Macaca mulatta: one gene and its partner. The protein of the gene in region 1 purifies or fractionates together with the protein of each later gene. This does not show direct contact. Links are inferred from orthologs where the notes say so. Each region holds a gene or a part of one and is shown in the gene's direction. Other genes may lie near its edges.

Region 1 (15,556 bases):
CTCCCTCCCTTCAAGATAACTGGCCCCAAGAGTGGGGCATGGGAAGGGCTGGTCCAGGGGTCTGGGCACTGTATATACCTGCACTGTACATCCTTGGGTCCTTCATTATTATTTATTAACTGACCACCATGGCCTGCCTGCCCTGCCTCCCTCCCAACCATGGGCTGCTGCTGTCACTCCCTCTCCACTTCAGTGCATGTCTTAGTTGCTGTTCTCTCAGCTCCCAGCTCTACCTCTGGGGTTCAGCTTCTGTCTCTGCTGTCCCAGTTTTGAGGTTTGGTTTCTTGTTTCTGTCTCTTGCTTTCAGGCTCCTCCCTCCCACCACTCCCCAGCTTCCCCTAGCAGTTACAGGGAAGATAGGAGGAGTAACTTCTGACATGTTTGCCTCAGATCCGTTCCACCCCACTCACAGTGGTTCTGTTTGCTCCAGACTGGGGCCAGGGCCTAATCTTTGGGATTTGTTCTTTGGTATTGTTGTGGGTCAGAAGGAACCTCATCCTAGATCTCACTCAGGCTTCCAGGAGTCCATGGGGGAGTGAAACCAATTCTCAGAGAACAACCCACCAGAGACTTTTAAAGAGAGCTTGGGGATGGGTTGGAAGAGGCCTCTCTTCATTGGAGCATGAGTGGATGCCAGAACTGTAGGTTATAAGGCAGTCACTTTTTCTCTCTTCTCCCACCCACACCTGCCTCCCTCTTCCCCCTGCTCCCCCACACTGCAGGAGGGTTTGTCTCTAAGAGGTGCTGCCCCAAAGCTCCCCAAGCATCAATACTCCTGGGGCTCAGGACAAGTGGCTCCCCTGGCCCGGGGAGCCACAGCCATGATACAAGGCTCTTATGGAGCCCTGGAGTTGTTGGGCAAGGATGCTGTCATATTTTTGAACCAAAAGACAAACAAGTTAAAAGGAAAAAAATCTCCTGAATTTCCCAAGTGCCTACGCTGCATATTCCCCTTGTTAGATCCCATTTTCATGTTACTTTGTAGCCTTGGCCAGAGGCTCAAAAAGGACACAACCAGTTTGGGGGAGGGGTGGCTAAGGAAGATGGTATAGGTGAAGGTGGCTGTGTGACCACTTCCCCCCACCCTTCCCACCCTCTATACAACTCTCTCCCTTACCTGTTTTTGCTATGGCTGTAAAGGTGTTTTCCCTCTGCCCCACTCCCTGCCATGCCTTTATCCTGGGATCCTATTTTGGGCCTAGGGTGGGTGCACCTGGGGCTGGTCTTAGGAGGGTGCTAGGTTGCAGACTGCCTTGTACCCCCTGGACACCCTCAAATGGGGTTTTCTGTGTTATTTCATAAGACTCTTTGAAGTCCAATAAAGCATGTAGGAGATTTTAACCCCTGCTGGCTTTGACTCTCATTGTGTTCTCTGTGCTGTGGCATGACGGGATGAAGAGACTATCTTTCCTTTGCCCAGGGAAAATGAAACTTGAATGCACATACCCAGAAGCTCTGTGGGCAGGGTTACCAGATACATGCAGGGCGACCAGTTAAATCTGAACTTCAGATAAACAGTTTTTAAAGTATAATTTTCTCTCATGGAGTGTCTGGGACACAGTTTTATTTGCTAAATTGGGAAACCCTATGTCTGGGTAAACTTGACCCTATCTATCCTATAACTTCACTTATGACTTTTAAAAAACATCTATTTAATTTTTCTTTTTCGTTTTTTTTTTGAGACGGAGTCTTGCTCTTTTGCCCAGGCTAGAGTGCAATGGTGTGATCTTGGCTCACTGCAACCTCTGCCTCCTGGGTTCAAGCGATTCTCCTGCCTCAGCCTCCTGAGTAGCTGGGATTACAGGTGCGTGCCACCATGCCTGGCTACTTTTTGTATTTTTAGTAGAGACAGGGTTTCACCATGTTGGTTAGGCTGGTCTCGAACTCCTGACCTCGTGATCTGCCTACCTCAGCCTCTCAAAGTGCTGGGATTACAGAAGTAAGGCACCGCGCTGTCCTAATTTTTCTATTTTTTGTAGAGATGGGGGTCTCGCTATGTTGCCCAGGCTTATCTCAACCCCTGGTCTCACATGATACTCCCGCCTTAGCCTCCCAAGATGCTGCGATTACAGGCTCACTTATGACTTTCCATGATTTTTAAAATTACTTCACAGGAAGCTTGGGCAGCTTCTGGAGGGTAGTGAGAAACCAACGAAAAGGCTTTAGGGAAAAGATGCCACAGATGAAATTTCATAAAGATCGCTTTGGGTAGCCCAAATCAGAAGCTTCTACACCAGCCTTGCATATTAGGGTTCTCATCTATTCTTATTCTCCACTTTAAGTCACCAAGTCCATCCTACCTCCACAAGGCAAATACCCTTTCTCTGCTACCATCCACTGAAGAACCCCAGAAGCAAATGTGTACTGACCCTGCCCTGCTTAAAATTCTCTCAGGGATCTGATTTGCGTCAGGATAAAATCCAAACGCCATTGGCCTTGCGCGGTTTTCTTCCAGTTCCTGAGTGCCACTCTTCTGGCCGATCTGAAAGCCCTGGGGCTCCAAGCTGCCCACGGCTGTGGAGCCTAGGCTTGAGCCCACAGCGGACGGCAGTGTTAGGATTATTACAATAAATGTCAAAGCAAGAAAAACGTTCCGGCCAGTTAGGTTTTGTTATTTCAAAAGCAACAAAATAAGTGAACCGCCTTTCCTCCGGCGGAGACACGCAAGCGACAAGGGCGGCGCCTGACCTGGCAGGCTCTAGGTGTTACGCCAGGGCCCCAAGGCGTCCAAATTCGGCTTGCCCACACAAAACATGGCGGCAGGAGAGCAGCGTTTCCGCCGGGCATGTCCACATCCAACGGGGCCCATGGGAGAGGCGTAGTCTTCTGTGTCTTGCCCAGACTCAACATGGCGGCTACAAGGCGCCTGAACTAGTCTGCGAAGCCTACCCCAGGCGTGGGCCGCAGCGTCGACTAACGTCATTCGAACCCCGTCGCACCCCTTTGTGCGTCACGGGTGGCGGGCGCGGGAAGGGGATTTGGATTGTTGCGCCTCTGCTCTGGAGAAAGTGCTGTCTGGCTCCAACTCCAGTTCCTGTCCTTGACCAGCGCCTGCAACCTAACCCTTCCTACTCTGTCACCTTCTTGATCCCGCCGGCGCTTTAGAGCCGCAGTCCAGTCTCCGATCCTTCAGAGCCTCATCCACTAGCTGCGATGCATGTGATCAAGCGAGGTGAGGGGGCAACGACGTGGGCGAGAAGGGAGGTGAGGGGACGCGGGCTGCCGCCGCCGGAGCTGATGCCCAACCCGCCCGCCCGCCCGCCTCCGCTGCTTCCCGCCCGCCTCCGCTGCTTCCCGCCTTTCCCGCCTTTCCCGCCGCGGCCTTCCGCCCTGTCAGCTCGCTCGGCCTTCTGTCTTCAGTCAGCCTGCCCCGAACCTCCTTCGGGCCTTCAGGCTGCGCCCCCTCGGCTTTGTCATCCTGCCGCCTTTCAAAAGGATAACGCCCTGTATCGAGTAGTGACTGCCGAGCACTTTCCAGGCACTATTTTATTCCTCTCTACAAGCCTCCGAGAGAGAGATTATTAGCTCCACTTTACAGATGAGGAAACTGAAGCTCAGAGCGAGGTTTCGGCGACTGACCTAAAGTCACCCATAGCTGACAACACAGTTTGATTTGGAAAACCGTGGGGTTGGTGAGCTGTCTTAGGCACCGGGTGGGGGGGCAGCTAGGAAAGAAGGAGGGGGACTCTTTACCCTACACAGCCACTTGTCAGTTTACTGATCTCTTTTGTGGGGTGAGGATAGGAGTGTGGGGTGGAAAAAACAGATCCCAGACAGACAGCATCCTGGAGTTCCTTTCCCTTCATGGCAAGAAATACTGAATCAGAGAAGGTTGGTTGAGACATCTTCTGACAAGATGGGGACTGGGAAGAGTCAGGAACTTGTATTCTTTCTCAACAGTTCCTTTTCATTAGACTTGCCGAGTCCCTGCTTTGTGCCCAGTCCTTTGCTTGGCTTTGTGAGATTATAAGAGGAGACAGTCCCTGCCTTGGGAATAGGCTTAATCGGGTTGGAAAAACAAGAGCAACATACTTTTAACAGCCACATGAGATATGTATGAACAAGTTTTGAGTTGAACCTACTTGCCTTTGTTAAAGCAATACAATTATTTCAAAATTGTAGGCACTTGGTAAATACTGGTTGATCGACGGGTTGTTTCTGTTTTGTCCTCTAGGCTGTGAACATATCAAAGATGGAGATTTGTTTGAGACAGAGTTTTGCTCTGTCACCCAGGATGGAGTGCAGTGGTGTAATCATAGCTCACTGTAACCTTGAAGTCCTGGGCTCAAGTGATGCTCTTGCCTCAGCCTCTCAAGTAGCTAGGACTATAGGCATGCACCACCATGGGTGGCTAATTTTTTAAAATTTCTGGTAGTGAAGGAGTCTTGCTGTGTTTCCCAGGCTGGCTTTGAACTGCTGGCCTCAAGCCATCCTCCCTTCCTTGGCTTCCCAAAGTGCTGGGAATACAAGCAAGATGGAGACTTTTCTGCTCACATTTAGCACAGGACCTGACGTGAATAGATTCTTAAAGAATGAAAGAAAATAATTGTATCAAAATGTAGGACATGATGAGTGCTGCGAATAAGCAGGTAGTTGATTTGGTTTAACTACAGCCAATGTCCAGATTGGTTTAACTACAGACAAGAGTTGGAAAGGTGGACAGTAGTGGCCCTTCTTGTTTTTGGTATCTTGAGAACATCATTCTCTGAATTTTCCTAGCTCCCATTTTAGCTGACCAAAGAGCAAAATCTTTTATTGATCCATTCCTAAGAGTGAGAGCTAAGCATCTATTTTTGTATTTTTATTTTTTTACATTATTATTTATTAGTTTTTTTTAGAGACGAAGTCTCGCTATGCTGCCCAGGCTGGTCTTGAACTCCTGGGCTCAAGCAATCCTCCCACTTCAGCCTCCCAAAGTGCTTGGATTACAGTGCTGGGAGCCACCGCACCTGGCTTGAGCATCTATTTTTTAAATCATTAGATATGGGAGAGATGTTTAGGATGGTTTATGATAAGTTAGTAACAAAGATAAATTGAAAATGTATGGACTTAGATGACCAGAATGGATAAAATTCAACTCTGTGTTGAATTTTTAACATTTTGAGTCTACTTCTAAATACTGTTGTTTAAAAAGTGCTACTTTGGCTGGGAGTGGTGGCTCACACCTGTAATCCCAGCACTTCGGGAGGCCAAGGCCGGTGGATCATTTGAGGTGTGGAGTTTGAGACCAGCCTGGCCAACATGGTGGAACCGTCTCTACTAAAAATACAAAAGTTAGCTGGAGGGTAGTGGTTTGCGCCTGTAGTCCCAGCTATTCAGGAGGCTGAGGCAGGAGAATTGCTTGAGCCTGGGAGGCAGCGGTTGCTGAAATTGTGCCATTGCACTCCAGTCTGGGCGACAGAGTGACACCCTGTCTCAAAAAAAAAAAAAAAAAGTGCTAGCTACAACTAACTAAAAAGCAGAGCTTATTTTGTTTCTCATTCCTTCATAGAGCATAATTTGATCCAGATGGTTCATGCTGTAGATTCTGCCGTTGTAGCATTCAGCAACACTTGTTAATGTACAACATGTACTTAGATTTCTTTCTTTATTTTTTTATATTTCTATGTTTCTATATTTTATTTTTATGTTTGTTTAATATGCATAGGGTTTTTGGTTTTCTGGACTTTTTTTGTCCCCTCTTATTTTTGGCATGTCAGTGAAATATCAGACTAACTCCTATAGTTTTTGTTAATTTTTTCTTTTTTTTTTTTTGAGATGGGGTCTTGCTCTGCCACCCAGGCTGGAGTGCAGTGGCATGATCTCAACTCAACTGCAGTCTCTGCCTCCTGGGTTCAAGAGATTCTCCTGCCTCAGCCTCCTCAGTAGCTGGGACTACAGATGTGCACCACCATGCCCAGCTAGGGTTTGTTATTTTTAATATAATTATTCAGAAGGGCAACTGGAAGTTGACTTTCAAGTACCTACTGAATGTGCTAATGTCTTGCTAAACACTGTGAGGGCAGTAATGGAGAAGGCAGCTCTGTCTTTAAAGAACTTAAAATTGTTAGGGATTTAGGAACAATCCATATTAAAATTGTTAGAAGAGAATAGTAGATAAGTTTTTTTCATCTGCTATCTTGAGCTGTTTTTCCTAATGGGAGAATATCATTCCTCAAGGAGATTATGGTTAAAAAAATAAACACTGAGAACCATTGCAGTAAATGACAAAGTAGCTGACTGAGTTGTAAACTGTTTTGGAATTTAGTGTAGTATTTTCAAAACTTTGGATTGTAACTCGCAGTAAAAAACAAAACGTTTTACAGACATACATGTATATATGTGGATACACATAAAATGATACAAAAGTTTACGAAATAATGTCTTCGAAAGCATCCATTTGCACTCTAATCTTTCTTTTATTCCAGATTATTTCCCTATCCCTCCCTTCCTCCCCCCTTCCTTCCTTCCTTCCTTCCTTCCTTCCTTCCTTCCTTCCTTCCTTCCTTCCTTCCTTCCTTCCTTCCTTCCTTCCTTCCTATTCCATTCACAGCCTGCTATATTATTTTACAACTCTGTGTGTGGATACTGTGCTGTGTACTGGGATTCCTGTGATGAGTAGGCAGACATGGTTCCAGCTTCCAAAGATCCTACAATCAATTGAGAAAGATAGACAAATAAAGAAGTAATATGATAAGATATGATAAATACTCTGAGAGGTAAAGTATAGGCAGTAGAGGCCATTCATTCAGTTATTCATAAAGCATTTATTCAGCATCTCTTTGTGCTAGGAGCTGTTGTAGGCATTAGAGATTCTGCAGTGAACAAAGCTAAATTACATTTCTCATTGAGTTTACAACTTGGTGTGGGTGGGAGTGGTAAGTGTATATAAGAAATAAGTAAACATAATAATCAGTTAATTTCAGATACTGATTAATGAGATGATAGTAAAACAGGATCATGTGATAAAGATGAATGAGAAAATAACCTTGGATTAGGTAGCCAGGAAAGGCTTCTCTGAGAAGCCAACATTTGAGCTGAACCCTAAATAGTACTAAGAGGTACTGTAATGTGAGATCTGTGGCCTGAACATTCTCGGCAGAGGAAATTACAAAGTTTGTATCTTGTGGAAAAGGCACGCATCCTTGGTCTTACAGGATTAGGGACATCTTCCTGAAGAGAGAAGAATGAAAGACAGTTTATAGTCAAGAGGAAATCACACTAGTATGCTAGAGGATTTTTTGTTTTATTTTTTATTTTTTGAGATGGAGTCTCGCTCTGTTGCCCAGGCTGGAGTGCAGTGGTGTGATCTCAGCTTACTGCAACCTCTGCTTCCCGGGTTCAGGCAATTCTCCTGCCTCAGTCTCCCGAGTAGCTGGGATTACAGGCACCTGCCAGCATACCCAGCTCATTGTGTGTTTTTTTGTATTTTTAGTAGAGATGGGGTTTCACCATGTTGGCTAGACTGGTCTCTAACTCCTGACCTCAGGTGATCCGCCTGCCTCAGGAGTTAGATGTATGGAAATGTGGAAGAGGAACTTTTAGGCAGAGTACGGTATAAGCAATGATGTGGATATGGGAATGGGAAGCCTTCTTGGGACTTACATTTCACACGGAACAGTAGAAGAGATCTGGGGCCAAACTAAGAAAGACTTTGCTTGAGAGAAGAGGATAATGTAGGCAGTGAGAAGCAGGGATTACTGATGTGATAAAATCGACATCTGGCTTGAAAAACTAACCAAGTGGAATGACAGAATAGAGAACCGCGTGTCATTGGACCTTTAGATCTTTAGTCTGCCTCCTATTCTCACGTGTGAGTTAAGATTAATTACCAATGCACTTTTTTTTTTTTGTCAGTTTCCTGATTGACTTCAGAACTTCTGGCAGTTGCAGAATTTTCTTTTTGCTAAGTTGCTTTTCCCCGCCACTCCATGTATAATTGCAGAACGCTAATGTTGCTTTGTGGTTACCTGCCTGCTTAGTTTTCCAATTGCCAGAGCACTGAGGTTTCAGTCCCAGTGGCAGCCAGTTAATTTACCCTGTTCCAGAGTTAAATGCTGCAAATGTGAGCCTAATCAGAAAATTATCACAATGGTGATCAGAAAGAGAAGGGCTAATATATCAGTGTAGAAGAAAAAGCAACTTGTTCTAGTGATAATGGTTTAATAGTGATGTCTTATTGTTCATTTATTCTTCATCAAATGTTTGAGAACTTGCCTTGTTCTAGGCACTAAATTTGAGAATACAGATGTGAATGAGAGGGCCAAATGTAAATATATTTAACATGTTTCTTATTGGTTACTTCAGGTTGAGTATCCCTTATCCAAAATGCTTGGGCCCAGAAGTGTTTGAGATTTTGGATTTGTTTCAGATTTTGGAATATTCGCATTATACTTACCAGTTGGGCATCCCTAATCAGAAAATCCAAAATCTGAAATGGTCCAAGGAACATTTTCTTTGAACATTGTGTTGGCATTGAAAAAGTTTTGGATTTTGGAGTGTTTTGGATTTTGGAATTTTGGATTAAGGATACTCAGCCTATAGTTACAATGGATTGTGGGTGCACAAAGGAGACAAAAACTAAATCAGTGTGAGACACTAATATTTATTGAGTGCCTATTGTGTATCACATACTGTGATTTTTTTCCCCATAGGAGCAGCTTTATTTTATAATGAGGTATCATAGTTGTAACTATGCCAAAGTTGTTACAACAAAAGCACTTTTTACCTTATCTCATTTTATTGTCACAGTAAACTGGTGAGGCAAGTAGAATAGATATAATAATTAACCCCTTTCTACAAATGAAGATCTGTGAAATGACTGATTATGTTTTGTGGCTTGCCTAGGGTTAAGGCTGTTTGGTGGTTTGATATATTCACTATTCCTGGTAAGAATAAATAAAGGTCGGATGAGCTACTATTTGAGGTTAAACTAAGAGTAGTAAGACTTTTGTCTAGAAGGACAAAGATATAATCTAAGTCCAAAATCATGAAAAATATTAGGTAAAATATATAGTATGTCAGATGGGATAAGCGCTATGGAGAAAAAGCACAGAAGGGGAAGGGAGATAAGAAGAGCAAGGGCCCTATTTGGGGCATTGCAATTTAAAATGGAATCATCAGGGAAAGCCTCATTGAGAAGGTGATGACATTGAGCAAAAGACCTAAAGGAGATCTATAGCAAGAAGGCCAGGTTGTCAAGGTAGAATAGGAAGGAAGGTGGGAGAGTTGGAGGTGAAATTGGGAGGTGGGTGCACAGGACAGGTTGTATAGGATTCTGTGGATTTTTTGTTTTTTGTTTTTTTTTTTTTGAGATGGAGTTTCACTCTTGTTGTCCAGGCTGGAATGCAGTGGCGTGATCTCAGCTCACTGCAACCTCCGCCTCCCGGATTCAAGCAATTCTCATGCCTCAGCCTCCTGAGTAGTTGGGATTACAGGCTCCTGCCACCACGCCCGGCTAATTTTTTGTATTTTTAGTAGAGACGGGGTTTCACCATATTGGTCAGGCTGATCTAGAACTCCTCCTGACCTCAGGTGATCCACCCGCCTTGGCATCCCAAAGTGCTGGGCTTACAGGTGTGAGCCACCACGCCTGGCCTGTGGATTGTTTTTTAACAATTTTGACTTTTATTCTGGAGATAAGAAGCCACTATTAGGAGTTTTGAGGGAGGTAATGATATGATTCTGAGTTTAACTTTTAAAGGGTAATTTTGGCTGCAATGTGGGATGGGGGGAATTTAGGAAGTTATCTGTAAATATCTGTATGTATAGAATTCATACTCTTTGAAGGTGACATCAGAGAAGACAATCTCGTCATGAATCTTTTGAGGGGGCCTGAATCTTATCTGTGAAATAGCATTTCATGTTGGTCAATTTACATGTTAATTACATTTGATTCTTTGACATTGCAGTCTTAATAATTGCTAACAGAATTTAATAATTGCTAACATGATTTGATTCTTTAGATGGCCGCCAAGAGCGAGTCATGTTTGACAAAATTACATCTCGAATCCAGAAGCTTTGTTATGGACTCAATATGGATTTTGTTGATCCTGTAAGTAAATATGGTTTTTATCTTGGGTTCCTTGTTTCATGTGTTTCTTTCCATTTGTCTCTTATTCCTGGACCTTCACTCACCTGACATACTTTGGTATTCTGGCTATGCCCTTTGATATAAAATTTGAATTCATTGCTTAAAACATTTTTTTTTTCTTAATTTTGGTTCTGTCCTGTGAGTTCTCACTTTTCAGAGAACTATGAATGTGAGTAAAGAAGAAAATTTGATATTAACATTTAATATCAGATATTTCCTTGAGTAAATTGTTTTATTCATTAGTGGAAAAGCCTAGGCCAGGCGCGGTGGCTCACACCTGTAATCCCAGCACTTTGAGAGGCTGAGGTGGGTGGATCACCTGAGGTCAGGAGTTCAAGAACAGCCTGGCCAACATGATGAAACCCTGTCTCTACTAAAAATACAAAAATTAGCTGGGCCTGGTGGTGGGCGCCTGTAATCCCAGCTACTTGGGAGGCTGAGGCAGGAGAATCACTTGAACCTGGGAGGCAGAAGTTGCAGTGAGCCGAGATCGTGCCACTGCACTCCAGCCTGGGCGACAGAGCGAAACTCCCTCTCAAAAAAAAAAAAAAAAAAAAAAAAAAAGGGAAGCCTAAAGTTTGTTTTGGAATTGTGGTTATTTAGGTAGGAACTGGTTTAAAATTTGCTTTTTGTTATTTATGTAAAAAGATTTAAGTAATATAAAGTAGATTTCATGGACAATATTTAAGTCAAGAACAAACTATTCATAAACGAGTTGCTCTGCTTTTTTCCTTATCCTTTATAACTTCTATATTCTAGATTCTCATCAGTTATCTGGACTGTTTTCTGTGGTCTCTGCAGTGTCCTGGACTTCCTCTAATCTTGCCCTCTTCAAACTCGTCTTCCACCTGACTTCTAAAATGATCTTCCTTAAATGAGAATCTCTAAGAACTCTTTTCTTCAAATCCACCCATATTTCCATCTCCTTATTTAGGTATCTTATCTGTACTGCTGTAAAACCTGTGCTCATCTCATAGCTTTAATCATATAACATGGAAATTAATTATAGGTCTTTATCCTACCCTAGAATTGAGGATGGGCTGTGTATCTTATTGTTGTGATATCCTCAGTGCTTGACATATATCTAATTAGCCACTTGACCAAAGTAAGTTTGGTCAAGAGAAAATGATTTTATGCATCTTGAAAATATGTTTATTGTAAATTCTCTTTTACATTGAGAACTTAAGACAATAATTAGAATAGTAGAATGTTAGAGTTGGAATGAACTTTGAGAGCCCATCCCATTTCATCTTTGTTTTATAGGTAAGAAAGTTCCAAAGAGAGAAGGAAGTGACTTAAGTTAGTGGGAGTATAGGGAGAAGCACCTAGGTCTCTTCACTCCCACATGTTCTATTGCCTCATGCAGTAGTACGTTTTAGAGCACAGGAGTGTTGCAGCATCCTCAAACTTCCTAAGGTAGATTCTGTTGAAAAACTGTCGGTGCACGTCTGTAATCCCAGCACTTGGGGAGACCAAGGTAGGCAGATTGCTTGGGCTCAGGAGTTTGAGACCAGCCTGGGCAACGTGGTGAAACTGCCCAGGTGCAGTGGCACAATCTTGGCCCACTGCAGCCTCCGCCCCTGGGGTTCAAATGATTCTTGTGCCTCAGCCTCCCTCCGCTGGGATTACAGGCATGTGCCACCACGCCCGGCTATATTTTTGGATTTTTAGTAGAGACAGGATTTTGCCATGTTGGCCAGGCATGAACTCCTGGCCTCAAGTGATCTGCCCGGCTTGGCCTCCCAAAGTGCTGGGATTACAGGTATGAGCCACACCGTGCCTTCCCTCAACCCTGTTTCTACAAAAACAAAACAAAACAAAACAAAAACAAAAAAAACAAAAATTAGCTGGGCATGGTGGCGCATGCCTGTAGTCCCAGCTACTTGGTGGTGGGAGGATCGCTTGAGTCCTGGAGGTTGAGGTTTCTGTGAGCTGAGACTGTGCCACTGTACTCTAGCATAGGCCACAGAATGAGACCCTGTCTCAAAAAGAAAAAAAGAAAAACTGTGTATGCTGTTAGATCTGGCACAGCACAGTTAGCACACAGATGGTATTTTATTCTGAGTTCTAATTGTTTGCCATATTACTCTAGAAACTATTTAGAAGACTTCACTGCTCTTATACTGAACACACCTTATCTACTGGATCTGGGAAGAAAGTGATCGGGAGCAACTTGGGTTTAGCTATATTATAATTAGAATAGATTGCAGACTGTTAAAATAGTTACACATGTATGTGTCTTTTTTTTGAGGGGGGTATGCATTGTTCAGCTGGGAAATACATTTATTTTCTGTTGGATTAAGTGGTTTCTTAAAGATTCAATAAACACACACACTCACAACTTAGAATTTGTTTTTCTTAAAAATGTATGCTAATACCTTGTGCATTACGTGTCTTAAAAATGAACTTACAATGTGGCCTTGAAAACAGTGAAATACAGTGAAGTTTAATGGGGTTGGGGCCAGAAGACTTGTATAATAATATAACCTTGGGCAAGTCCCAATAACCTGAGCCTCAGGTTCTTAATGTAAAATAGGTATAGTAATAATCATCTCACAAAGTGATTATGAAATGTCAGAGATTATCAAAGTTGATAATTTTTGATCAACTTTGGTTGAGAATCATTTGAACCCCAGGGGTGGAGGTTGCACTTTGTAATTTGTGAAGTGCTAAAGAAAGAGTAGTCATTAAATTATCATGACTCAGCCCCAAACCTAATTTATACTTCTTTCTCCTTTAATTGGCATGATTAAAGTTTGATTCATTTGCTTTTCTGTACTTATCCTTATATGGAATTTGGGAAAAGTAAGTATGAAGCTGGAGCCCTGATCACTTAGGGAGGATCTGAATGAAAAATGGGGAAACACTCATATAGAATCATTAGTCTGTTGGGAGAATTTGAATGAAAATAGGGAAATACAGAATCATTAGTATGTTTTCAGCTATTTCCCTGTGAGACTAATTGATTTAAAGGCTATATTTAGGTTTTTTTAAATAACACCTTCATTTTATATGTAGTATACATTTTCTGTAGTTCTGCTGGGTTGTGCATTCTCATTACTAAGTTTCCCACTGCCCACCATTCCGAAAGATAATTTTTCAGATAAGTAAATTGTCTTGTTCTTTGTTTCAGACAGGGTCTCACTGTGTTGCCCAGGCTGGAGTACAGTGCTATGATCATAGATAGCTCAGTGCAGCCTTGACTTCCCCAGTACAAGCATTCCTCCCACCTCAGCTTACCCTGTAGCTGCAACCACAGGCACTTACCACCTTGACTGGCTAATTTTTTAATTTTTAGTAGGGATAGGGTCTCATTATATTGCTCAGGTTTGTCCCAAACTCCTGCGCTCAAGTGAGCCTCCTACCTTGGCCTTCCAAAGTGTTGGGATTACAGGTGTGAGCCACTGTGCCCAACCTGTCGTTTATATTGTGATGTGAATTTGATTGTTTTCTTTTTTTCTTTCCTTTTTTTTTTTTTTTGAGACAGGGTCTCACTCTGTCGCCCAGGCTGGAGTGCAGTGGCATAATCACAGCTCCTTGCAGCCTCAGCTTCCTGAGTAGCTGGGATCACAGGTGTGTACCACCACACCCAGCTAATTTTTTTATTATTTGTGGAGATGGTGGGGGGGGGGGTCTTCCTGGCTTGCCCAGGCTGGTCTCGAACTCCTGGACTTAAGCCGTTCTCCCACACTGGCTTCCCAAAGTGCTGTGATTATGGGTGTGAGCCACAACGCCTGGCTTTTTTTTTTTTTTTTTTTTTAAAATAGGGTCATGAACTGCTAAGGTTAAGTGATCCCCTCACCTCAACTGCTGAGTAGCTAGGACTATAGGTATGTACTACCACACCTGGCCATGATGGTTTTCTTAATTACTCTTTTAAGGAAGCTATTGTTTCTTGGGAAAGCTCAAGTAATTCTTGGTTTTATTTTTGTAGGCTCAGATCACCATGAAAGTAATCCAAGGCTTGTACAGTGGGGTCACCACAGTGGAACTAGATACTTTGGCTGCTGAAACAGCTGCAACCTTGACTACTAAGCACCCTGACTATGCTATCCTGGCAGCCAGGATTGCTGTCTCTAACTTACACAAAGAAACAAAGAAAGTGTTCAGTGGTAAGTCTTGGGTGAAAAAGTAAAAATTCAGTATTCTCAGAAAAGTAATAAGGGTAGTAGAAATCTTGACTGTTTAAAGAAGCAAATATGGCTAGGTGGGGTGGCTTACACCTCAAATCCCAGCAATTTGGGAAGTCAAGGCAGGCAAATTGCTTGAGTCCAGGAGTTTGAGAACAGCTTGGGCAATGTGGTGAAACCCCATCTCTGCGTTTTAAGAAAAATCTAAAATTATAAAACAGACCGGGTGCAGTGGCTCACACCTGTAATCCCAGTGCTTTGGGAAGCCAAGCAGGTTGATTGCTTAGGTCAGGAGTTTGAGACCAGCCTGGCCAACATGGTGAAACCCCATCTCTACTAAAAATACAAAAAATTAGCTGGGCATGGTGGCGGGGGCCTATAATCTCGGCTACTCGGGAGGCTGAGGCAGGAGAATTGCTTGAACCCGGGAGGCGGAGATTGCAGTGAGCCGAGCCTATGTCACTGCACTCCGGCCTGGGCGAGAGAGTGAGACTCTGTCTCATAAATAAATAAATAAATAAATGGCAAATATGTAAATTAGTGGGAAAGAGTGGACTACAGTTTCCTATTTCTCCATGCTTCCTATCTGCTGTATAAAAGAGTTGATGTATCTTTGTTCTTTAAGTTTTTTATTCTCTCTCTTTTTAAATTTTTTTATTTTTTTTGAGATAAAGTTTTGCTCTTATCACCCAGGCTGGAGTGCAATGGTATGATTCGGCTCACTGAAACCTCCGCCTCCCGGGTTCAAGCGATTCTCCTGCCTCAGCCTCCCGAGTAGCTTGGGATTACAGGCAGTTGCCACCACACCCAGCTAATTTTTGTATTTTTAGTAGAGATGGGGTTTCACCATGTTGCCCAGGCTGGTCTCAAACTCCTGACCTGAGGTGATCTGCCCTCCTTGGTCTCCCGACGTGCTGGGTTTACAGGCGTGAGTCACCGCACCTGGCCTCTCTCTCTCTTTTTTAAAGCCCATTGTTAGGCGCTTGGTGGTGATATGGTTGGAAAAATGAATAATATTTATTAACAAGTTTTGGGTTAAACAAAATGTTATACTTGCTCCTTTCTCACTAGATGCGAACTCTTCATTTCATCACTACCATTTTACAGCTCAGGGAATGTGGGAAAGGGAAGGTTAATTTGTTCAATATATAAGAAGCCAGCTGGTAGACTGAGATTAAAAAATCTTTATTGTTTCCTATCGGGAGCCAAAAAGGAAAAAAAAGTTTTTAAAAATTTTATGCCAGGCATGGTGGGCCTAATCCCAGCACTTTGGGAGGCCAAGGCAGGAGGATTACTTGAGCCCAGGAGTTCAAGACTAGCCAGGGTAACATAGTGAGACCCTTTCTCTCCAAAA
Region 2 (15,456 bases), on another chromosome or scaffold:
TGAGGTCATCCAAAAAAAAAAAAAGAAAGAGAACCTGGAAACACAAGTTTATGCATTGATGATTTGCTGATTTCCTTTCTGTACAGTATAAAACATTTGTTTTGGTTATTTTTATTACTATTTTAAAAGGATAAAAACATTTAAAAGTGAAATTTTCTCCTGGTGTTTGTGACATTAAGGGGATCACAGAGTTCACTGGGAAGTGTTCTCTGCTGCCTTTTAGGTTTCATCTCCTCCCATTGTCCCCCACTACCATGAAGTCCAGACTTCTAGTTCTTCAAATAGAAAATGACTTCTAATTCTTCAAAAATGTCACATACCATCATACCTTTTTTTTTTTTTTTGAGATGGAGTCTTGCTGTGTCGCCAGGCTTGAGTGCAGTGGCGTGATCTCAACTCACTGCAACCTCTGCCTCCCAGGTTCAAGTAATTCTCCTGCCTCAGCCTCCCGAGTAGCTGGGACTACAGGCACGTGCCACCACACCCAGCTCATTTTTGTATTTTTAGTGGAGAGGGGGTTTCACCACATTGGCCAGGATGGTCTCGATCTCTTGACCTCATGATCCGCCCGCCTATGCCTCCCAAAGTGCTGGGATTACAGGCATGAGCCACTGTGCCCTGCTCATCATATCTTTTTTCACATTGTTTTTTTCTTCTAAAATATGGGTTCTTAGATTAGGTCCACAGATGGTACTCTGGAGAGCCTAGAGTTCCAAGATGCATGACATTTCTGAAGTTGTATTTACATGTATGTTTGTGCACGTATCTAAGCATTATGAAATAATATGTCATCTCTAGCCCAGCTCAAGGGTTGATGTTGGTTAACCTCCTTCTCTTCACATTGCAAAATCCTTTGTAATACACTCCTAATCCAGCTCCTCCTCTTAATAGTCTACAGGTTTTCAGGATAGAACAGGAGAATGTATATACAAATGTGACTTTCATTCTAACTTAAAGGTACTAGTCTTCAGCAGATCATTTATTTATCATCATTTAAAAACTTCATTCATCATCAGGGCATTTGGTGCTGAAGAGTGACTACTTGTGGTGTCCTTCCCAACTTTCAGTAACAAAAGTATGGAAGTTCCCAACTTTCATACTTTCAGTATATCCCAAATTTCAGTAACAAAACTAGCAAAGGCCAGGAGTTTGAGACCAGTCTGGGCAGCATAGCATGACGCCCATCTCTACAAAAAATTTAAAAATTATCCAGGCGTGGTGATGTGTGCACATAGTCCTAGCTACTTGGGAGGCTGAGACAGGAGGATCACTTGAGCACAGGAGTTTGAGACTGCAGTGATCTGTGATCACACTACTATGATCTATATACTCTAGCCTGGGTGACAGAGCAAGACCCAGTCTTAAAAAAAAAAATTACTCAAATATTTGTGGAATGAGTACCAACTAAGTGCCAGGTACTGTGCTAAGCACAGGGATTCTACAAGGGGGAAAATGGTTTTTACTTTCAAGAAGCACAGGAAACTATAGACAATTAACAGGGAATTACATTGCAATGAGCTATGTACTTATATCTAGAACCTAACCCAGGCCTTTGGGGTAATATGAAGAGGGGAAAATATGATTGATTTAGTGGTTATTGTGTTGTGTCACTGATGTATTGAGGTCCTATGTTAAATTACAATTTTCTAAAGGTACCTAGAAATCTGAGTACAGGAAGAAGAGAAATTAGCAGCCCATTTACTTAGCTAACATGCTTGGCACGATCCTAAGTTCTGGGAACATCACAACAAATAAAAATTGGTTCCTCTTCTCCAGGGCTCAAGTGTTGTATCTGAGGAGGCCCACACCTTTAAACAAATAGTTAAAATCAAGACAATCTGTACTGTGATGGCAGTAGGTATAAAGCATGCAAGTCCCCCGGTATTTGCATAGCCTTATGCTTGTATTTTGGGCTTTCTTCTTGCGAAGGCTTAGCCTCCTCCTCTATAACACTTGCTTTGGTGAGGTGACAATGGGTGGAGGCTGGAGTAAGGAACATAATGGGCCTGTCACAGTAGAGAGAGACAGTTTTGGTTAGGAGTCTAGAATTTGTATGTGTTCTAATCCTGGTTTATACATGTTTAGCTTATTGGTATGTCCTTTGTGTATACTCATTCTCATGCATGTGCGACTCTTCTGGTCCTCTTCTGATGTTCCCGCTGACTATTTTAAATATATCTACATGGCACCATTTGCTCTTAGAGTGCAGTCATATTTTGAAGCAGTATGAATACAGGTTTGTGTTTCTCATTTTATTCACAAAGCTTTGAGACAGCCCACAGTGAGATCATATGCAGTAATGTTAAAATGTAAATAGAAGTAACAAATTGGAGTATCAGAAGGTTAAGATGAACAAAGGTTAAGTTGTAGGTAATGAGTTTTCAGATAAATATTATAGTATTTCAGTGAAGAGCAGAAAGAAAAAACATTAAAATAAAGTAGCTTATACCAGTAGCTTATTCATTCCAGCATTCTATATCAGAGAGACTCTAAAGGGACATTTTGTTCACAAACTTAGAAATTTGTCCATCATGACATTTATGGATCTAGCTTTCTACTTATCCTCAAACTAGCAATAATTACAATAATTTTTGAGTGCTTATTGTATACCAGGCTTTGTTTAAAGCACTTTTAATCATCAGAATAAACCTATGAGGCAGGAATTACTTTACAGCTGAGGAGACTGAGGGTTAGAGAAGTTAAGCAGCTTCCTATGGTGACACACGCACTTCCTAACAGTATTAGTCAGCTACCAGGTAACAGTAAGGATTCAACCCAGGCAGACAGGCTCTCAAACCATTGCCGTCTCCCTGACTTCCCTAGATGTATGTTTAGGTATGAATAAAGGAGAAATGTCTATATAAAAAGCATGTTTGTACTTTATTTTTCAAAGAGATCATCTTCAGATACCAACGACAATGAAATAAAGTCAAATGAAGAGCCCCTCCTAAGAAAGAGTTCTCGCCGGTTTGTCATCTTTCCAATCCAGTACCCTGATATTTGGAAAATGTATAAACAGGCACAGGCTTCCTTCTGGACAGCAGAAGAGGTACGTGGCATTGCCTTCATGAGCATTCATGTCCTATAGTGCAGTGTTCCCTTCTTGTTTTACAGGATATTGAAAAACTTTAACTTATACGTTGAAGAAGATCAGTTGCAGAAGATAAGTTTTGGAATTACTGAGACTAAATACGATGTTCTCAATGTTTTAGTTTAGATTACTATCTATAAACTAGTTTTCTGCTGCAACAATGGCATCTAATTCTCCCAGATTTTTATTTCCAATGTATTAGAACATTTTCTTTTTTCTTTTTCTTTTCTTTTTTTTTTTCTTTTTGAGACAGAGTCTCACTCTGTCACCCAGGCTAGAGTGCAGTGGCACGATCTCGGCTCACTGCAAACTCCACCTCCCGGGTTCAAGCGATTCTCCTGCCTCAGCCTCCCAAGAGCTGGGATTACAGGCACCCGCTGCCACGCCCGGCTAAGTTTTGTATATATAGTAGAGACGGGGTTTCACCATGTTGGCCAGGCTGGTCTCAAACTCCTGACCTTGTGATCCATCCACTTCAGCCTCCCAAAGTGCTGGGATTACAGGCGTGAGCCACCGCGCCCGGCCAACATTTTCAAATTTTAAACAGACTTTGAGTTTGATATGGCCAAGTAAGACTAGTCTCACTAGTCTTATAAGGTCGGCAGAATAAGTAAAATTGCAGCTTTAGTCAAAAAATGAGTGAAAGCTGGAGCAACTCTGCTTCCAACTGAGAGACTTATCTGATTGTACAAAGGGAGGTGCTGCATGAAGAGTTTGATCTTCAAACTCTTCATGGACTCACTCCTGAGTCAGCCAGGTGGAATTCACAGTGCTGCTCCCAGTTTGGCCGTGCCCTCAGCTACATCAGACGTGACAGAGTTGCCACTGAAAGACCAGCTGTAGAATGCTTTCTGTTAATTCCACCTAGGAGATCAGTTGAACACAGCAAACTAGAAAATATTTGCTGGTTGGTAAGGACAGTGGTCATGAAGATGATTGCCCTGTAGTCTAACTGAACAAATAGTTATTGTCTTGATCTTTGATGGGTGTTACCTGTACAGCACTCTTGTTCTGTATATGTTTGTATATGTATCTTTTTAGATAGATGTATCTATTTGGATAGATAGATTTGAATCTATCTATTTTTTCAAGAAGTTAATTCTATAAATGTTAAATACATGCTGTTAAGAATGCAGGCTATGGGGTCAGACTGCCTAGGTACAAATCCTGTGCCACTACTTACTAGATATGGGACTGGGAAAGTTGCATGACTTCTCTGTGTATCCTCATCAGTAAATTGGGCTAGTTGTACTTGGCTATTTGAGTTGTTATGAGGATTAATGAGATGTTTAAAATGGTAGTTGACACTTAGTAAGCACTAAATAAATGTAAACTATTATTTTATGCACAGAAGGGGGAAAATTTAACTGAGAAATCAGAAGGCACCAATGTTTGAAGTTCTATTACACTAATTTTACCCATATGCCATCTTTGTTACATTGTAGTGTTATATATTGTCAACATCTTTGTTATATTATAGTTGACATATACAGCAAAAAACCAAACCACACAAAAACAAACACCCAATATTTTCATACTGGGTCATAATGCTCGACACACCTGACTGTCCCTAACTGTCTGTGGTTTTTAGAAAGTTTTTTTGTAAGATACAGTTCAGAGAACAAGTGGAATACACAGGTGGCTTTTTGGTTCATCATGTTAAAAAGGTACTTAGGATTCTTAGGATTCTTGAAATTCATTTGGAAATTAACTTGCATCTTTTAGCAAAGATAATATGTGACCTGTAACAAAGAAGCACTAATTTTTAAAAACTGAAATCTACAGGTTGATACATGTTTTTTAGGTAATTATAGGAAGATTCAAATACGTATTTTGAAGATAAGTCAAACACATTTTTAGTTCCACATATTTTTCATTTACAAATTATGTAAATTACCATTTGATAAGCTTAAATGGTTGAGCTTAATTCTTAAATATGGCTGATCAACAGAAACCCTGATCAAAAGACAAAAATCTGGGGTTTGGGACTTTTTTCTTTAAAGCCACTCAGGCAATTACGATAATTATATAGTTTGGAATCAGTATTTAAATGATGAAATTGAGAAGTTGCTCAAATAAGAAAAAGCTAGGCAGGAAGGAAATATGACTAATGTAGTGTAAATAAAGTTTACAAGACCTTTGAAAGTGAGTGTTCAAAGAGATAATTTTAATATTTAAAAGGAAGCATCTTACAATATTAACATTTAATATCAAACATATATTTTATGTGGCTCACACCTGTAATCCCAGCACTTTGGGAGGCTAAGGTGGACAGATCACTTGAGGTCAGGAGTTCGAGACCAGCCCGGACAACATGGTAAAACCCTGTCTCTACTAAAAATACAAAAATTAGCCAGGCGTGGCAGCAGGTGCCTATAATCCCAGCTACTCAGAGGTTGAGGCAGGAGAATCGCGTGAGCCTGGGTAGCAGAGGCTGCAGTGAGCCAAGATCATGCCACTGTATTCCAGCCTGGGCAACAAAGTGAGACTGTCTCAAAAAAAAAAAAAAGTGAGGGGTTATAATATATTAGAATGAAGAAGATGTCCTTCAGTTAAACCTAAGTTGAGCTTTTAATAGAATAGAACTTGATTTTTAGGTTGCATATTAAAAGATGAAGACAAATGTTTCCTCCACCCTGCTCCGTTGTATCCCCAGTGCTTAGCACAGTGTCAGGTGTGCAGTAAGTGCTCAGCAAACACTTAAAGAATAAATTAATGGAAAAAAGGGTTTGGAAAATAGCATAAGTACTCAGCAAACACTTAAAGAATAAATCAATGGGAAAAAGGGTTTGGAAAATAGCATGTTATTAAAAAGTTGGGACATTAAGTCCTTTTTGGAAAGGTCAAAGAGATTGAGGCTTTGTGTTTTTTGTTTTGTTATTGTTGTTGTTTCGAGACAGAGTTTCTCTCTGTTGCCAAGTGGCACAATCTTGGCTCACTACAACTTCCGCCTCCTGGGTTCAAGCGATTCTCCTGCCTCAGCCTCCCAACGTCCCCTGGGCTGGAGTGCAGTGGCGTAATCTCAGCTCACTGCAACCTCTGCCTCCCAGGTTCAAGTGATTCTTCTGCCTCAGCCTCCCAAGTAGCTGGGATTACAAGCACCTGCCTCCATGCCCAGCTAATTATTTTTATTTTTAGTAGAGACGGGGTTTCACCATGTTGGCCAGACTGGTCTTGAATGCCTCGGCCTCCCAAAGTGCTAGGATTACAGGCATGAGCTACTGTGCCAAGGTGAGGCTTTGTTAGAGTAAATAGAAGAAAGGCAAAAGACAAGGACAGTTACATATTTCAACTGTTTATGAAGTTAATCCTGAGAAATATTTAAAAGATTTTTTCTGACAAAATTGAAGCAGGATAGTTTCTCTGATCCCTTCGCAGGTGGGAACTGGAATGCACATGCTGGAGCTAGCTGGCCGCTTTTGCGCTGGCAGGGGCAAACTCCACTCACTTGAACCCACTGTGCTCAACCCCTTGAGGGAGGGAGCATGCAGGTGAGCAGGTGCAGGAGCTTGGGCAAGTTCTTTTGGGCACCAGCAGGAGCAAAACTCCATGCAGGCCTCGTGGCAGTATCTGTGGGGAGTACCCACAACCCTTGAAGACCCAGAAGGAATGTGTTATAGTCAACTCTCTTTTAGTTTTTGCTGTCCGTGGATGGCTTGTTTTAACAGTTCAGTGGGCCCTCTGCCTTTTCACATGAAACAGTTGGTCTCCACCAGTGAGGGCAGAGGGTCAGTGTGACAGCCTTTAGCATCCACACCTGTGGCACCCGAGCTCTTGTTCAGCATCCAGGAAAAATCAGATTACATGAACAAATTGAAGGGTGGTGAATACAGAGGATTTTATTGCTGATGAAAGTGGCTCTCAGTGGGAAGGGAAGCTGGAAAGAGGATAGAGTGGACTCCTCTCCAAAGGATGCTGTCAAGCTGTCCCTCTGAAGTTAAGCTGCTTCTCTCTGATGTTCAACCATAGTCTCTGGCATCCAGCTGCTTCTCCTCTTCTCCTCTTCTCCTCTCCTCTTCTCTGCTGGTAGAGCCTGGGGTTTTTATGGGCATAGGGTGGGGTAGCAGGGCCACGGATGGTTTTGGAAAAGGTAACATTCGAGTGGGAGAACAGGAATGCATGTTGTCACTTTGGGCTGCAGTTCCAGGATTGAGGGTGGAGCCCTCGCCGGGGACCACCTTCTTCTGCCCAGAATTTCCCTGCCTCCTGTCCCTGTCAAAATGATGTCTACATATGCTGTGTGATGCTGTTTGGAGGTGGAATCTTGGGAGGTAATTAGATCATGTGGGTGGAGCCCTCATGAATAGGATTAGTGCCCTTATAAGAAGAGACATGAGAGATATGATCTCTCTCTGCTATGTCAGGATACAGCAAGAAGGTGGCCATCTGTAAATTAGGAAGAGGGCCTTCACCAAGAATCCAACTAGGCTGGCATCCTGATCTTGGGCATTTAGCTTCCAGAAATGTTAAAAAAGAAGAATAAAAGTATGCTGTTTAAGCAACCCAGTCAATGGTAATTTGTTATAGCCCCCAGAACTGACTAAGACAGGGTACATTGAAAGACAATTTTTGGCTGGGTGCAGAGGCTTAGGCCTGTACTCCCAGCACTTTGGGAGGCCGAGGCGGGCAGATCACTTGAGCTCAGGAGTTCAAGACCAGCCTGGGCAACATGGCAAAACCCTGTCACTACCAAAAATACAAAAAATTAGCCAGGCATGGTTTTGTGCGCCTGTGGTCCCACCTGTGCCTCTGGAGGCTGAGATGGGAGGATTGCTCGAGCCCAGGAGGCAGAGGTTGCAGTGAGCTGAGATTGTGCCACCGCATTCCAGACTGGGTGACAGAGTAAAACCCCGTCTCAAAAATTTAAAAAATAGACAATTTTTAAATTGTAGGTTTCACCAAATTCTAAAGTATATCTCCCTTAATTCCAAAGACTAATTCTAATGAACATTTTCAAAAATATTTCCATTCCCAATGGAAACCATGCCTACGTATAAACTGCTTGGGAGGCTGAGGCAGGAGAATGGCGCGAACCCGGGAGGCGGAACTTGCAGTGAGCTGAGATCCGGCCACTGCACTCCAGCCTGGGCGACAGAGCGAGACTCCGTCTAAAACGCAAAAACAAAAACAAACAAAAAACCAGATTATTGGTCACCTGTGGTAGCTCACACCTGTAATCCCAACACTTTGAGAGGCTGAGGTAGGAGGATTGCTTGAGGCCAGCAGATTGAGACCAGCCTGGGCAACATAGTGAGACCCCGTCTCTTTAAAAAAACAAGACAAAGCCAGGTGTGGTGACTCACGCCTGTAATCCCAGCACTTTGGGAGGCCGAGGCGAATAGATCATGAGGTCAAGAGATCGAGACCATCCTGGCCAACATGGTGAAACTCCATCTCTACTAAAAAATATAAATAATTAGCTGGGCATAGTGGCACCTGCCTGTAGTCCCAGCTACTCAGGAGGCTGAGGCAGAAGGATTGCTGGAACCCAGGAGGCGGAGGTTGCAATGAACCAAGATCATGCCACTGCACTCCAGCCTGGCAACAGAGCGAGACTCCGTCCCAAAACAAAACTCAGGTTGTTACCTGCCTGGCATTACTTCTGGATATAAAAGTAGACTGATTACCTGGCAGTAAAGTAGCAGCTACAGTTGGTTAATAGGTGCTTAATTAGCTAACACCATAGCAAATATTGTATAAAATGTTAAAGCAATGACTGTTGAGAATCATTAGCTTATTCACTTCAGTGCCTTCTTGACTAGTTTTTATTCTCCCTACTCCCCTTTTAGCCCTTCTTTCATTTGCTCTGGTGCCACTAGATTATGTTAATTTGGATATTTTTAAAGTACATCCTGGCCAGCTTCTTAGCCAGAAAATTTGATTCTGTTGTAATTTTTTAAAGATAAATTTTATTGTGTATGTTTAAGGTGTACGACATGATGTTATAAGATACATATATATAGTAAAATGGTTACCATGGTGTAATAAATTAACATTTCCTTTGCCTCATGTAGTTTAGCTGTTCCCCCTCCCCCACCAAGAGTAGCTGTAATCTATCATTTAACAAAAATTCTCAATATAATACACTTATTAGCATAACATTTTTGTTCTATTTCTTTGCAATGCTAACATCTTTCTTTTTCCATAGTTTACTGGTAGTGGGATATTCCTACTTAACTTTACAATGGAAGTTAGTTTCCCAACAGTTTCCCAAACACGTTGAGAAGAACTTAACTCCAAATTAAAATTTTTGAAAATCTTTTTATTCCAGGTCGACTTATCAAAGGATCTCCCTCACTGGAACAAGCTTAAAGCAGATGAGAAGTACTTCATCTCTCACATCTTAGCCTTTTTTGCAGCCAGTGATGGAATTGTAAATGAAAATTTGGTAAGATTTTTGCTTGATTTAACTTTTGTTCTCCTTTAGCAGTTAAATGATGATAATGTCATTAAGATTATTAAATTGAGCCAGAGGAAAGATGTCTAAAAAATGAACTAGATGAAGCTTAACTCTTTAAATGTTTTTCTGATGAATTGCTTATCCTTTGACCAGCAAATGTTATTAAATCAAGCATAAATTATACCAATCAAAACTATTTACAGTGCAGTAACATGAGTTTGATTTTTACCCTCAGATGGTAAGCTTAATAGAGAACCTGCACTTTAATAACCTTTGGAGCTCTGTAATAGAATACTGGGTTCTGGCTCCCCATTTTGAAACTTAACTATGGTTGATCAGAAGGCATAATTTCTTTTTAAAAAGAATAGAAAGATAGGCCAGGTGCGGTGGCTTATGCCTGTAATCCCAGCACTTTGGGAGGCCGAAGTGGGCGGATAACGAGGTCAAGAGATTGAGACCATCCTGACCAACATGGTGAAAACCCATTTCTACTAAAAATACAAAAATTAGCTGGGTGTGTTGGCACGTTCCTGTAGTCCCAGCTATTTGGGAGGCTGAGGCGGGACAATTTCTTGAACCCGGGTGGCAGAGGTTGCAGTGAGCCAAGATGGCACCACTGCACTCCAGCCTGGCGACAGAGTGAGACTCCATCTCAAAAAAAAAAAAAAAATGTGTGTGTGTGTATATAGATATGTATGTGTGTATATATGTATATATATGTGTATATATATACTGTGCAACTAATTTACCACGGATAATTGATGGATAAACAGTACTGCCTAGGATACTGCTTAAAATAATCCATAAGGTCTTTCTGACCTGTTTGTTATGTGACAGGCAGTTTTTAAGTGATAATGCTGATGTCCGGATTCTGATTTGCAGTGTTTAATGAGAGCCTATAGAACTGGATATGTCTGTTTCCCTTTCTTCTTAGGTGGAGCGCTTTAGTCAGGAGGTGCAGGTTCCAGAGGCTCGCTGTTTCTATGGCTTTCAAATTCTCATCGAGAATGTTCATTCAGAGATGTACAGTTTGCTGATAGACACTTACATCAGAGATCCCAAGAAAAGGTATTGTTGGGATTTTATTTACAAAATATTGCTTATGGCTTGGTTATATTCAGATCAGAATTTATTCCAAAATTCAATGTTAAGGAAAGATTCAAGTATGGAAGTTTCTGAGCATAATATTTTCTATTGCTTAATAATGTATTGAGTTTAAAAAAAAACTTGTTATAGAACCAGTTAACCTTTAGATATTTTATCTTTAAGAACTGTTCAGTAGCATCTTCTGTTTAGAAACTGAATACTCAGATTTAGCTGGTTTTGTATGAATCAGATTCAAACTAATAATTTGAGTTTTATTTCTATTTTATGGGCATGTAAAAATGTATAAAAACTGCCGATCTGGTATCATACCATAGAGTTACAGTTATTATCTCTGATTAAGTTTAGTCCAATTAAGAAAAACAAGTGAGGCCAGGCATGGTGGCTCAGGGCTGTAATCCCAGCGCCTTGGGAGGCCAAGGCAGGTGGATCACCAGGTCAGGAGATCGAGACCATACTGGCTAACACAGTGAAACCCTGTCTCTACTAAAAATACAAAAAAATTAGCTGGGTATGGTAGCGGGCACCTGTAGTCCCTAGGGAGGCTGAGGCAGGAGAATGGCGTGAACCCGGGAGGCGGAGCTTGCAGTGAGCCAAGATGGCGCCACTGCACTCCAGCCTGGGCAAGAGTACAAGACTCTGTCTCAAAAAAAAAAGAAAAACAAGTGAATAACTTTGCTGTTCATTCTTTTGTTTTTACAGGGAATTTTTATTTAATGCAATTGAAACCATGCCATATGTTAAGAAAAAAGCAGATTGGGCCTTGCGATGGATAGCAGATAGAAAATCTACTTTTGGTATGTGGCTCTAATTTATATATGATCAGATTTGCCTCAGGTGATATGACAATATTTTATGTGGTGTGACTAGCCAGTACTAATCAAAGTTACAGCATGGAAAAGGAGTACAAATATCTCAAATGCACCTTTACCAAAATCATTATTCCTAATAATTAATTAGAAAGTGTTGGTAAAATAAAGCTGTTATCTATTCTACTTAATAAGTTGGAAGTTGAAAAGTTAAGATGTTAGTGCATAATGACAGTTAAATAGGAGTCAGTCATATAGCAATAACAAGAGTATTATAGCAATTCACAGTTTGTACCTGGCTTTTAAGTTTATTTTAGGAATTTTTATTTTTTTTTTAGACAGAGTGTCACTCTGTCACCCAGGCTGGAGTGCGGTGGCGTGATCTGTGATCTTGGCTCACTGCAACTGCTGCCTCCCAAGTTCAAGCAGTTCTCCCTGCCTCAGCCTCCTAAGTAGCTGGGATTACAGGCACCTGCTACCATGCCCAGCTTATTTTTGTATTTTTTAGTAGAGATAGGGGTTTCACCATGTTGGCCAGGTTAGTCTTGATCTCAGATGATCCGCCCACCTCGGCCTCCCAAAGTGCTAGGATTGCAGGCATGAGCCACCACGCCTGGCCTATTTTAGGAATTTAAAGCAAGTGAAAACTTAACATTTTTGAGGAAACAAATATCTAGTTTCTCAAAAACTAAAGATTAGTGTAATCAACCAGGACAAAAAAACAATTTGTAATAACAGGCTTATTTTTCATAGGTAAGCTAAATGCAAACACCCTTCTGGCTGACTTGAGATCCCATAGCATTTTTTTAAGGAAGTGTATCATATTATGTCTTACACATAATAGTTGCTCAATAAATATTTACTACATTTAATTAAAATATTTCTATCTTTCATTTGGATAGCTCTAAGTACACATCTCATTCTTATCTGTTTTTAATTGGTGTTCTTTACTTTTTGGTTTTATTCATTATGTGAGGAAGCAAGTCTCAAAATTTTTGGTCTCAGGCCTCTTTGTACTCTTAAAAATTATTAAGAGCTCCAAAGTGCCTTTACTTGGGTAGGTTATAGGTATTGATATTTCTGCATTAGAAATTAACATTGAGATAATTTAAAAATATGTATTAGTGCATTCTAAGATAGCAATAATCAACCCATTACATTTTAATACGGATAACATTTTTATATAAGTTTCTGTATTTTCCCAAAAAAAAAAAAGGATAGCATGCTTTTAAATTTCTATAAATCTTTTAAATGTCCGACTTAATAGAAAACAGTTGGAGTACCATATCTGCCTTTGCATTCGATTTGTTGCAGTGTATATGTATGTAGTATATGCCTCATTTAAATACATATTATAGTTAGAAAAGGGAGAAATATTTTATTTAGCTTTTCAGATTATTATGAATATGTCATGTAGCTTCTAGAAAATACCATTGTAAAGTATGAGAGACTGGTAGTTAAAAAAAATAAATAATGCCTTAATGTTATTATGAAAATAGTTTTGACCTCACAGGTCTCCTGGGTCTGTAGATCTCTCAGGGACTCCTGGACCACACTGAAGAACCAGTGATGTAGTGCATATATGGGCCAGCATGTAGTATACCAGGGATGAAGCAGATATGTTTGCCTCCTTGCCTTCAGTTCATTTCGAAAATGAGAAAGGCAGCCGGGCATGGTGACTCACGCCTGTAATCCCAGTGCTTTGGGAGACTGAGGTTGATCACTTGAGGCCAGCAGTTTAAGACCAGTCTGGGCAACAAAGCAAGACCCCCATCTCTACAACAAATTTTAAAACTAGCCAGGTATGGTGGCATGCATCTGTAGACCCTGCTACTTGGGAGGCTGAGGGAGGAGGACCACTTAAGCCCAGGTGTTTGAGGCTACAGTGAGCTATGATCCACTGTGCTCCAGCCTGGGTGACAGAGCAAGACCCAGACTCTAGAAAAAAAAAAAAATTAAATAGGAATGAGAAAAGCACTGGTTCTCAATATATGTAAAAATCATCTGGAGAATTTGTGGAAAAACTCTTAAGAATCCTGCCAAAAGTGATGTAGGAGGCCCAGATGGGACTGAGAAATCTGCATTTTTGTATTCAGTTGATTCCCTCCCAAGGAGCTTCAGAAACACTATGGGAAATGCTGGCTTTAGAGAAAAAAGAAGGGAAAAGGCAGAGTGTTCCATATACACTGAAAATACTAGTATGGACAAGTAGTGATGAAAAATGATGAGCAGGCCCACAGAAAGCATGTATTTCATGAACTACCCAAGAAGGACAACCTAGAAATAGAGAAAACAGAGAAGGCTGGCAGTCACTATGTAACTACATGAGGACTCCAGCTAGATTCTTCATATTGCTTAATCTCAAGGGAAACCCCATTTCGGGTTCTAATTTAGGGTCTCAGAGGAAAGAACATGTTCTAAAATTGTGGAGGGGGAGTTGAATGAATGTAGAGTGGAACAGGGAAAGGGGAAAGGGTGAAGAGTGCATTGGTGACTCTCGTTTTTGGGAGTGGAGCTAAAAGACAGTAACATGGAAATATCGCCTTGCTTTGCTGCACACTGTTACTTTCCTTTAACCAGCTGAGGAAGTGCTATTTTATGAACTGATTGGGCTACCTGCACCGTTAGTAGCTATAAGTTGACAAGGACAGCTCATTCATCTGGCTTAGGGTTTTGCCTAACATTTTTGGTGACCTTCTTAGTGCCTTTTGCACTAAGATCCAGCATAGCAACTATTCTTTCCTTATATCCAGACTCTTATAAGCCTTTATTTTTAGCTAAAGAGAAACTAAGAATATTTCTTAAAAAATTATTAGTTTGTCTGAAAGTTTATGTTATAACAAGATTCAATTCCTATAGAGCAAAAATTTTCCTTATTATATATCTGTATAGATTTTTAAAAATTGAGACATCTTGTTTAATTTTTAAAATATTTTTAAAGAACTTTAAAATATATAGATTAAAACTTAATATATGTAATGAAATTTTATTTCAAGCCTCAAAAAATATTAGCTACACAATCTTAGTACATTGCCATCATAGAGGTCAGCTGTATCTTAAAAATATATCCAACCTTCCCCTCTCTAAAATGAATCATGAGGCCTTTACATTCACTATAGTTTTTAGGAGAAATGTTCTGGAACCCTCTTTTTATTTCACATATATCTCAAAAAATTGTAAAATGTGCCACCTGTAATCCTTTAATCTTCTCCAAAAAAGAATAGCCTTCTATAACTATGTTATGATTTTCATTCTTTAGTATTCACATGAATGTATAGCATGGTTACAATACCAATTTTCCACTAGGCACGGTGGCTTGTGCCTATAATCCCAGCTACTTGTGAGGCTGGGATAAGAGGATGGCTTGAGCCAGAAGTTCAAACCAGCCAGGGCGACATAGAGAGACCTTAGCTCTAAAGAAATAAAAAAATTAGCCAGGTATGGTGACGCACGCATGTAGTCCCAGCTACGTCAGAGGCTGAGGTGAGAGCATTGTTTGAGCCCAGGAGTTTGAGACTGTTTGAACCATTAATGCGCCATTGCACAACAGCCTGGGTGACAAGAGCAAGACCCCACTCTCTAATAAAAATAAAAATATCAATTTTTCTTTTATTCACGTTTGTATTTAATTATAGTCTACTTTCCTTACAGATAATTATCCTTTTGATGTTACCTTAATGTCAATGAAAAATGTATCAATAACTATAAGTTATCCTAATAGTAAGATAAAAGATACAGTAAGTTATATGTTAAACTAATGACAAGTCTCTATCTTAAGAATAGTGATTATGCTGATGATGATTTTTGAAATGGGCTCACTCTGTTGCCCAGCTGGAGTGCAGTGGTGTGATCATAGCGCACTGCAGCCTTGACCTCCTGGGCTCAAGCATTCCTCCCACATCAACCTCCCAGGTAGCTGTGACTACAGGTGTGCACCACCACACCCAGCTAATTTTTAAATTTTTTGTAGAGATGGGGTTTTGCTATGTTGCCCAGGCTGGTCTCTAACTCCTGCATTCAAGTGATCCTCCTTCCTCGATCTACCAAAGTGC

Evidence for each region.
Region 2: the proteins of RRM1 (region 1) and RRM2B purify together in Homo sapiens (affinity purification with western blotting; 3 studies listed by BioGRID and IntAct, counting the BioPlex papers as one, with this or other methods). This does not show direct contact. The link is inferred for Macaca mulatta from reciprocal best matches to the Homo sapiens genes RRM1 and RRM2B.

What each region holds. Positions count from the first base shown.
Region 1 is NC_133419.1:71,713,107-71,728,662, reverse strand, and holds the start of RRM1 (ribonucleoside-diphosphate reductase large subunit), read left to right. Parts: upstream 1-2,864; 5' UTR 2,865-3,153; coding exon 3,154-3,172; exon of another isoform or gene 3,173-3,831; intron 3,832-9,909; exon of another isoform or gene 9,910-9,944; coding exon 9,945-10,033; exon of another isoform or gene 10,034-10,073; intron 10,074-13,982; exon of another isoform or gene 13,983-14,006; coding exon 14,007-14,184; intron 14,185-15,556. UniProt on the Homo sapiens protein: Provides the precursors necessary for DNA synthesis. Catalyzes the biosynthesis of deoxyribonucleotides from the corresponding ribonucleotides.
Region 2 is NC_133413.1:112,565,672-112,581,127, reverse strand, and holds part of RRM2B (ribonucleoside-diphosphate reductase subunit M2 B), read left to right. Parts: intron 1-2,204; exon of another isoform or gene 2,205-2,236; intron 2,237-2,893; coding exon 2,894-3,049; intron 3,050-9,362; coding exon 9,363-9,479; intron 9,480-10,425; coding exon 10,426-10,559; intron 10,560-11,297; coding exon 11,298-11,392; intron 11,393-15,456.